Linked DNA regions of Caenorhabditis elegans. The protein of the gene in region 1 purifies or fractionates together with the protein of each later gene. This does not show direct contact. Each region holds a gene or a part of one and is shown on either strand. Other genes may lie near its edges.

The links. Proteins that work in one complex are often made in the same cells at the same time.
Region 2: the proteins of ceh-93 (region 1) and Y105C5B.9 fractionate together in Caenorhabditis elegans (co-fractionation; one large-scale study listed by BioGRID). This does not show direct contact.

The regions. Positions count from the first base shown.
Region 1 is NC_003284.9:386,855-390,608, forward strand, and holds the start of ceh-93 (Homeobox domain-containing protein), read right to left. Parts: upstream 1,944-3,754; 5' UTR 1,938-1,943; coding exon 1,881-1,937; intron 1,834-1,880; coding exon 1,753-1,833; intron 1,708-1,752; coding exon 1,555-1,707; intron 1,083-1,554; coding exon 917-1,082; intron 385-916; coding exon 32-384; intron 1-31. Other genes in the region: R04A9.9 (NR LBD domain-containing protein), read right to left, coding at 2,717-2,869, 2,984-3,079, 3,358-3,408, 3,491-3,574, 3,632-3,634.
Region 2 is NC_003282.8:15,928,427-15,932,180, reverse strand, and holds Y105C5B.9 (Phytanoyl-CoA dioxygenase domain-containing protein 1 homolog), read right to left. Parts: upstream 1,601-3,754; 5' UTR 1,599-1,600; coding exon 1,431-1,598; intron 1,254-1,430; coding exon 857-1,253; intron 850-856; exon of another isoform or gene 764-849; intron 709-763; coding exon 407-708; 3' UTR 365-406; downstream 1-364. Other genes in the region: srv-16 (G-protein coupled receptors family 1 profile domain-containing protein), read left to right, coding at 1-77, 221-359. UniProt on the Caenorhabditis elegans protein: Has alpha-ketoglutarate-dependent dioxygenase activity. Does not show detectable activity towards fatty acid CoA thioesters. Is not expected to be active with phytanoyl CoA.

The DNA of each region.
Region 1 (3,754 bases):
TGCTTTATTCATCATATTTGATTTATTTTACCACATGAACATATCCAAGAGTGAACCTTTTCCGTGAGAGAAGGTGAAGTTCAATCTCGTCCTCCAATACAGTTTGCACTTCGTTCGTAATTTCTATGTAGGAAGTAGTATCCGTTTCACGAGACAAAAACTCCCGAATTCGACAACACGCGTCATTTGTCTCACATTCAATTTTTCCGTCTTTTCTAATTGTCTCAAAATTGTCAAAAATTGTCTTGTATCGTATTCCACACCGTTCGGATAGTTTCTGCATTCCAATCGCTGTTGGGTGGCAGTTTCTTGCAAAACTAGCGTTCAACTCTCGTCTCACTTGGCTTTCAGACATGATCCTTTTGTTGGATGGAATACTTCCCACTGAAATTTTGATATTAGATACATTTTGTCTGCACAGCGATCGACATTTCCGGGGCTGCCTTTTAATTACTTTGGCGTGTGTATAAATTGCATCATACATCAAAAAATCAAACTTTTTTTCTACAAACTATCTAGAAATATCAGACGATTGATTAAAAGTTATTCATTATCAAGTTATTATTTATTCATTATAAAGTTATACTTATCATTATCAATTTAGTATAAATTAGATGATATGATTTATAGCTGAACCAGCCGTGGACCGCACCTTCGGCGCGGCCCCCGACTTCTGTGGCTGAAAATTAATTTTTTTATAAAACTACCGTAACCCTACAGTATTCCTACCGTACCACTATTGTACCACTACAGTACCCCGACTATATCCCTACACTAACCCCAACTCACTATCCCTCCAGAAGCCAAAACTTCACAGACTACAAAGACTACATTGACCACAAACTATGGACACACAGAATAAGCGCTTTATATATAGTAGCTGAATAGTATTTTATTTGTAGCGCAATTCAGTTACCTTTCTTTGGGAATCCTGGACAGATCTTTTTAATTGGCAAAGACGAATCCGGGCGATCAAACAGCACAGAACTTCCCAGTGACATTTCGCAATCAAAATCAGTTGTATCATCTTTGAGAAGATCAGAAATGCACTGAAACTTTGGTTTCCAACTCGGAGTTTGAATCTGGAATAGAAACTGAGTTGAGCATGGGAGTTAAGTAAAGTTATCATTAAAGTTATGAGTTGTCAAAAAAAGCACTTCTTTCATTTGCGTGATTCTGAAAAAAGAAATACACAAAAAACAAAGACTTCCAGTCTTCATTACCTAGTACCTGACTAATTTTCGAATGTGCTACATTTTGAAAAAAAAATACTTCGTTTGGTGACGTTAAGAACTGAAAGGTTGAGCAGTTTTTCATAGTTTCAGTTTGATCATCTGTCAGTGAGAAATAACAAAAATTCCACAGCTAGTGTGACAGGAAACCAATGAAGAAATATTAGGGCTACAAGTAATCTTACAAATTATTGCAAAGTTCTATTCTACTATTTCTATTCTAAAATCTATTATTGAAAATTGTTAGTTTTGCATTTGACGTTCACTGTGGTAGATATTAGGATCGGTTTGTATATCTTATTATTTTCTCTTAAAAACTTACGACGTTCACATGTGTAGCTTCTTCAATAGGTTCTGTTTTTATGTCGTCAGATAGCAAATGAGTAGGTTTTTGTTCATCATCATGCAAACGAACTCCCACCTTTTCCAGAGCCGATCGTGGAATTTTAATCACTTTTCGAACAGTTGAGCAAATCTGTGTAAACAAACTAATCTAGTAGGTAAAGTCTAATATTTCTACCTTATCGGGAAGTTCTTCTTTGATATATCCTTTTGTAAATTTTTCCGGTTCAGTTTCTTCAAATAAATTTACATCTTGAATCTGAAAAACATGGAAAAATTGTAAGAAAAAAACATTAAAAAACTTGCATTCTCAGGCTCCTCCAATTTTGGAATCTTCCACTCAAATTCGTTTGATCTGTTCATTGCATTCTGAAATTAGCTTGTTTTCGTTCGATGGAAAAGCAAAAGAAAATAGAGTAAAATAATGGAGTAAAACTGAATCGTTTCAGAATCGATGATTGGTGGGGTACGCGGGAGACAATTCGAAGAGAGTGTGTGTGAAGAATTAGAGACGCAGTGTTATGTTTGTGTTGGAGCGCGGTTGCATTCTGAAACGACAAGAGCAAAAAATATAACAATTTTTTCTGTCAAAAGAACGGTTTAAATTTTTAATTCGAAAAAAAAAACAATAATTTTCGCTTTGAAACTTGCACATAAAAAGTTCTCACTCGAAACAACTTTTTTTATTTTTGACGCTAATCGCTGCTTTTCAATACTTCTCGTGTTGAATTCGTTTGCCGAATTTGCAGTTTGCCGAGCTCAGCAAATTTGCTGAATTTGCCGAACACGCCACTAATTGGATTATAAAAAATTTGACCGAAACTATTGATTAATTTAAAAAGTTACAGTAAAATATTATAAAATTGAGTTATTTTAAATGCTATGTAGGCCGACATAAACTAATGTTTTTTTTAATTACACTTGTGCTTAGAAGTCAGTAATTTTGGTGCTCTTAGAAATATCAACAAATTTTCTTGACTTTCGTAGTTTGTCCAGCATGGCAAATTGATCGAATTTGCCGTTCTTGAAATCTTGAAGCAAAATTCTGAAGATGAGGTAATATTAATCAAATTTGTTGATAACAGAATAATGAATAAATTTTTATACACGGTTTCTAAGTGAACTTTTGTTAGTAAATATGATTAAAATAAAATTTTGGGGAAAAATCGTTCCAGGAGGTGCTCCGATTGTGCAATGATTTTTGTGAAGTCTTCGCCCAAAATAATGGTTCTAATTAATGCATCTTCAACGATTCGAATTCTCCTGATCAAAAAATCGCATTTCGCTTTGTCCGTCTGGAAGAAAACGTGATGTGTTCTTGTAATGAAAGGCTTTTTTTTCCAAATTTATGAAAAAATCATGCCCACGTTTTTAAAAATCTTCATGAAATAATTAGTTTCAGAACTTACCTTATTGTACTCCTGTCTTCCAATTGATAAAAGATACATAAACCCTTTTTGCACAAATTCTATATAGTCAACGTTTTCATCCAGTTTGCGATATTTCTGTAAAAATCACGTTTTATCATACAACTATCCGTTGAAATAAGTTCTGGGTCAAAAATCATAACTTTTTTCGTGGGCTTTCGATTTTTCTGACAATTTGAGAATGTATGTTGTTAACTATCAGTTTTTGCTTGACGGAATTTTTGAAAAGTTTTGACCGTCTTAGGTATCGTCCTAGGTATAGTTCGAAGCACTTTTTTCATTTTAACAACATATTATAACACATTTCAAAATGTGTTTTGACAAATTGCTAAAAAGCAAAAAAAAAAAACCTTCACCTTATTCGATAAAAGTCGATGTAATGCCAGCACTTTACCGTTGTATTTTTTCTGAAAGCAATGAACAAATTTTTTATGAAGGCTAACAAATTAGTTGTAATTTTCCAAAAAGAAACAAAACAAATCGACCTACAATTTCCTCCTCTGTCAAAACCATATCACTTTTTACATTTAGATTGGGCATCACCTTGCTTTGGTTTTTGTTTTTATTTAAAATCTGAAAAAAAAATTCCGTATTTTGTAGTTTTAAAATCAGATGACTAGATTACCCTACCATTTTCTTCTGGACTCATCGAGAAAAACAATAAAAAGAGTTCCAAAACGTGTGTATATGTAGTCTGAAAAAAAATGTGTTGGGGAGGAAAAAAAACAGAACAAATTTCATTGAACATACGAA
Region 2 (3,754 bases), on another chromosome or scaffold:
ATACTTTTCATTTTCAAAGGCGCAGATATCTTGGCATTCACCTCTGATCAGTTCTATTTGGTGTATAACGCAGTGAGGTAAGTCGGCGAAAAAAAAGTTCTCCCCGGCCGGGAATTGAACCCGGGTCTCGCATGTGACAGACGCGGATACTCACCACTATACTACCGAGGACACGAGAAGTTGGGTCATTTGGTGCCTAGATGAAACACCTTACTTTCAGCGACCTCTACGCAAGTATCAACCCATATCTTCTCTGGGTTTTCTCCGATTCTCTCCGAAAATATATCCTGCAACGGCTAGGCTTCACCAAGAAAAAATTAAAAATCACATCGGTCACACCTATCACATTTGTTCAATGATTATATTAATTTATTTTGCAAATTTATTTCAATTAAACTTTTAAAAATTAATCTTTATACAAATCTGGGAACTTATAGTTTTCGGTCTCCTGAAGCCAATTCTGTTCGCTCCATTTTGTGTTCTTCCGCTCCATGACGTGGATCGTGTACGCGTGACGTGACTTTTCCGATGTGTTCGCTTCACTTTTATGGACCACTAGGCCGTGGATAAGAATCAAGGATCCTTTGGAAATGGGGACATGCTGGAATTTGGATTGATCGTATGTTGGACGAGTGCCAATGAATTTAAGAAGAGCACCTCCCGACGTGTCATGGGTTCGCACGAATCGATAGTTCGCGGAGGAAGTGTCTGCAAAAAAAGAGAAATGAATCGTTTGTGTACGCACTAAGGGCGCACGCAAAAACATGTCCTCGGTAGTATAGTGGTGAGTATCCGCGTCTGTCACATGCGAGACCCGGGTTCAATTCCCGGCCGGGGAGAATATTTTTTGCCTCACCTTTGTGACTTCCCGGGATAAAGGAAAGACATCCATTCTCCACGCTGGCTTCATCAATTGCTATCCAAACTCCTGTAAGATGATCAATAGGGTCCACTCGAAGGAACGTAGAGTCCACGTGGTCCGTCACTGCTCCGCCGATTTTTGGCTGCTTGAAAATGTACATGCTCTGCACGACGCCGGGCTCCTGATATCCAATTTCCTTGAAGATATTTTGAATTTTCGAGTTGAACGTCATCTTCTCAAAAGTTGGATCCAGAAAGTGCAGGCCGTGACCGATTTTGTTGAGAGCCTTGTCCTTGGGCACCGTGAGCTCCCCGTCCTTATCCACAGCTCCCTCTTCGAAAAAGAATCGGATTTTGTCGGAGCTGTTGAGGAAGTAGGAGTCCGCTGCGTGCTGGAAGATTGATTATCGATTTTTTCTTAAGCATTCTTAGAAAATCGATAATTTAAACTTTATTGCAACAGTTTTTTTGATATTTTTTTGATATTTTTTCATTAAAAAAAGAGGAAACATTTCAACTGTTTCAAAAATTCTATAAATTTCATATTTCAAATTTCAAAAAAAAATTACTTTATCCTCATCATAAGTTGAAAAGACACTTTTCGGATGTTCTGCCAAATCCATATCGTTTACAATTTTTGAAATCGATTTTTTCATCTCATCAATCTCCTGATCATTAAATACATTTTCAACTACCACAAATCCATCTCTTTCGAATTTTTCGCGAAGATCCCACATTTCTGGAACAAAAATCGGTTAGTTTGGGGCGTCAAGATATGTAGGCATGTGTTCAGGCGTGCCTGCCTACCTGGGTGCCTGCTGCCTGAATGATTTACTACTTTATCGTGCCTATATATCCTATATATACCTATATCTCATTTTAATCAATTTTTTCTGGGTTTCCTTTTTTTTTTTAACCAAAAACAAAATACTGGTAGAAGGCACAAATGTAGGCACCAAAATGCCTATCTGCCTGCCTTGCCTGTGCTACCGGACAATTTTTAAAACTGAACCTTCAAAAGGATCAATAAAATTGAGAAACATGTTAGTCTAGGCGTGTACGTAGGTAGGCAGGCACGTAGGTAGGCAGGCACGAAGGTTGGCAGGTAAGTAGGTGGGTACGTAGCCATGAAAATTTTAATTGAAAAAAAAAAACTACACTTTTCTCAACAAGAAAAAACAGTAAAAGAACCGAGAGTAGCCACAATAAAATGGGTAGGCTAGGCGAACTATCTTATCAGTAGGTGCCATCATGATGCTTATCATATCAGCAATGGTGACTTGATACTTGTTTTTTTATTGTCTAATTGTGGTCACGTAAACGACCGAATTGACACGTGGCGGGAAAATTGGTGATTTGAGAGAAAAAGAAAAAAATCTAGAAATAAAAAAAAAGTGCGGTTTCAGAATATTTATATAAAAACTGAACCGAAAATTTTTTCGATTTCAATGCACTTGGCAATAAATTAATGTTATTTTTTTTTCAAATTCTCAACTTGTTCTTTTGAAACGCAAATTTGCAACAATTCTGCAATACTCACACTTTCATTCACTTTTAGTGTAAAAGCCTGCCTCATAATAATCATAATAATCTATTTTTGAAAGAGCACATCCCTAAGGGGTTCATTAGGTAGGACAAATGTGCGAGAAATTATTATTCAATTTTCGAGAAAAGGTGAAATAATGTGCTGCTTTTTTTTCTTCTGCTTTAGATTAACTTCAAAAAAATATAATTTTTGACAAAAAACCCCTTTAGAAAAATTAAAGTAAGCTGGGAAAAACTAAAATTTATTTGCGTTTCAACTTTTCGATAATTCTAAAGAAGAATGGCACAAAAAATTAAAGTCATTTCAATTTATAAAAACTTATGTTTCATTACCATCATATTGGCTTGGATGTTTTCATTGGAATCGGTGTAAGAGTTGAAAAGGAGAATCCGATTAGAACTTGAAGAAATGCGATTAGGCTGGCTCAAACTCTAAGTAGGCACGTTTTTACATACCTACCTAGCGCCTATTCTGACGAAAAACTCCAATTTCCAATATTCCAATATAAATGTTGAATTGAACATAAAATCTTGGATTGAAGGCACCCATGTAGGCACCAGGCAGGCGTAGGTAATTTTGAAGCTAAGTCAACAGTTGGCTTCGGTGCCATACTTCCCGGTTGACATCAAAATACCACAGAAAATAATTGTTGTTTCAACGAAAACCTAGAAACAAAAACATGTCCTTTTTATTAAAAAATTCGGCCTCTAAAATTACCGATCACATCTTATACCTGTTCATTAAGAGCGTAGGCAAAAATTTTTGAGCAATTATTATTTTTCTTTTTGTCATGAGTTATTATGTTTGCTCCGTTAACTTTTAAAGTGTAATCAATAAAAATTTGACTCAAAAGCCAAGAAATGGGGAGCAAAATCAAAATATGCCTGATTCATGCCTACCTTTTTTATGCCTGCCTGCCTGCCTGCCTGCCTACTTTCTTGCCTACCGCTCTTCTTTTGACGCTTTGGCGCAAACTACCTAGTTTTTGACGGTATAAGTAGACACTCGTGGAGGTAGGCATACGTCGCCTTGAAGAGACAAATAGGTATACTTTTTTTTCTCTAAGTTGAAGATTTACTTCCTTTCTGTGAAAAAAATGACAGCTGATTTTTAATTGGAACGGGGGTTGTTTTTTGTTTTTCCGGTTTGACTTTTTTGTCGAGTTCGTTTTTTTTTTAAATTTTAGAACATTGTTGTTTTTTGGAATTGTTCCATTAAAAAATCAACGCTGAATTTCAAATATTTAAATGAGTTTAAGAGTTTTCCAGAAAAGTAACAATTTTTGAACAATCTGGACAAAATCAACACTCAAACTAATCCCCAATAACACTAGAAATTTTAACAGTT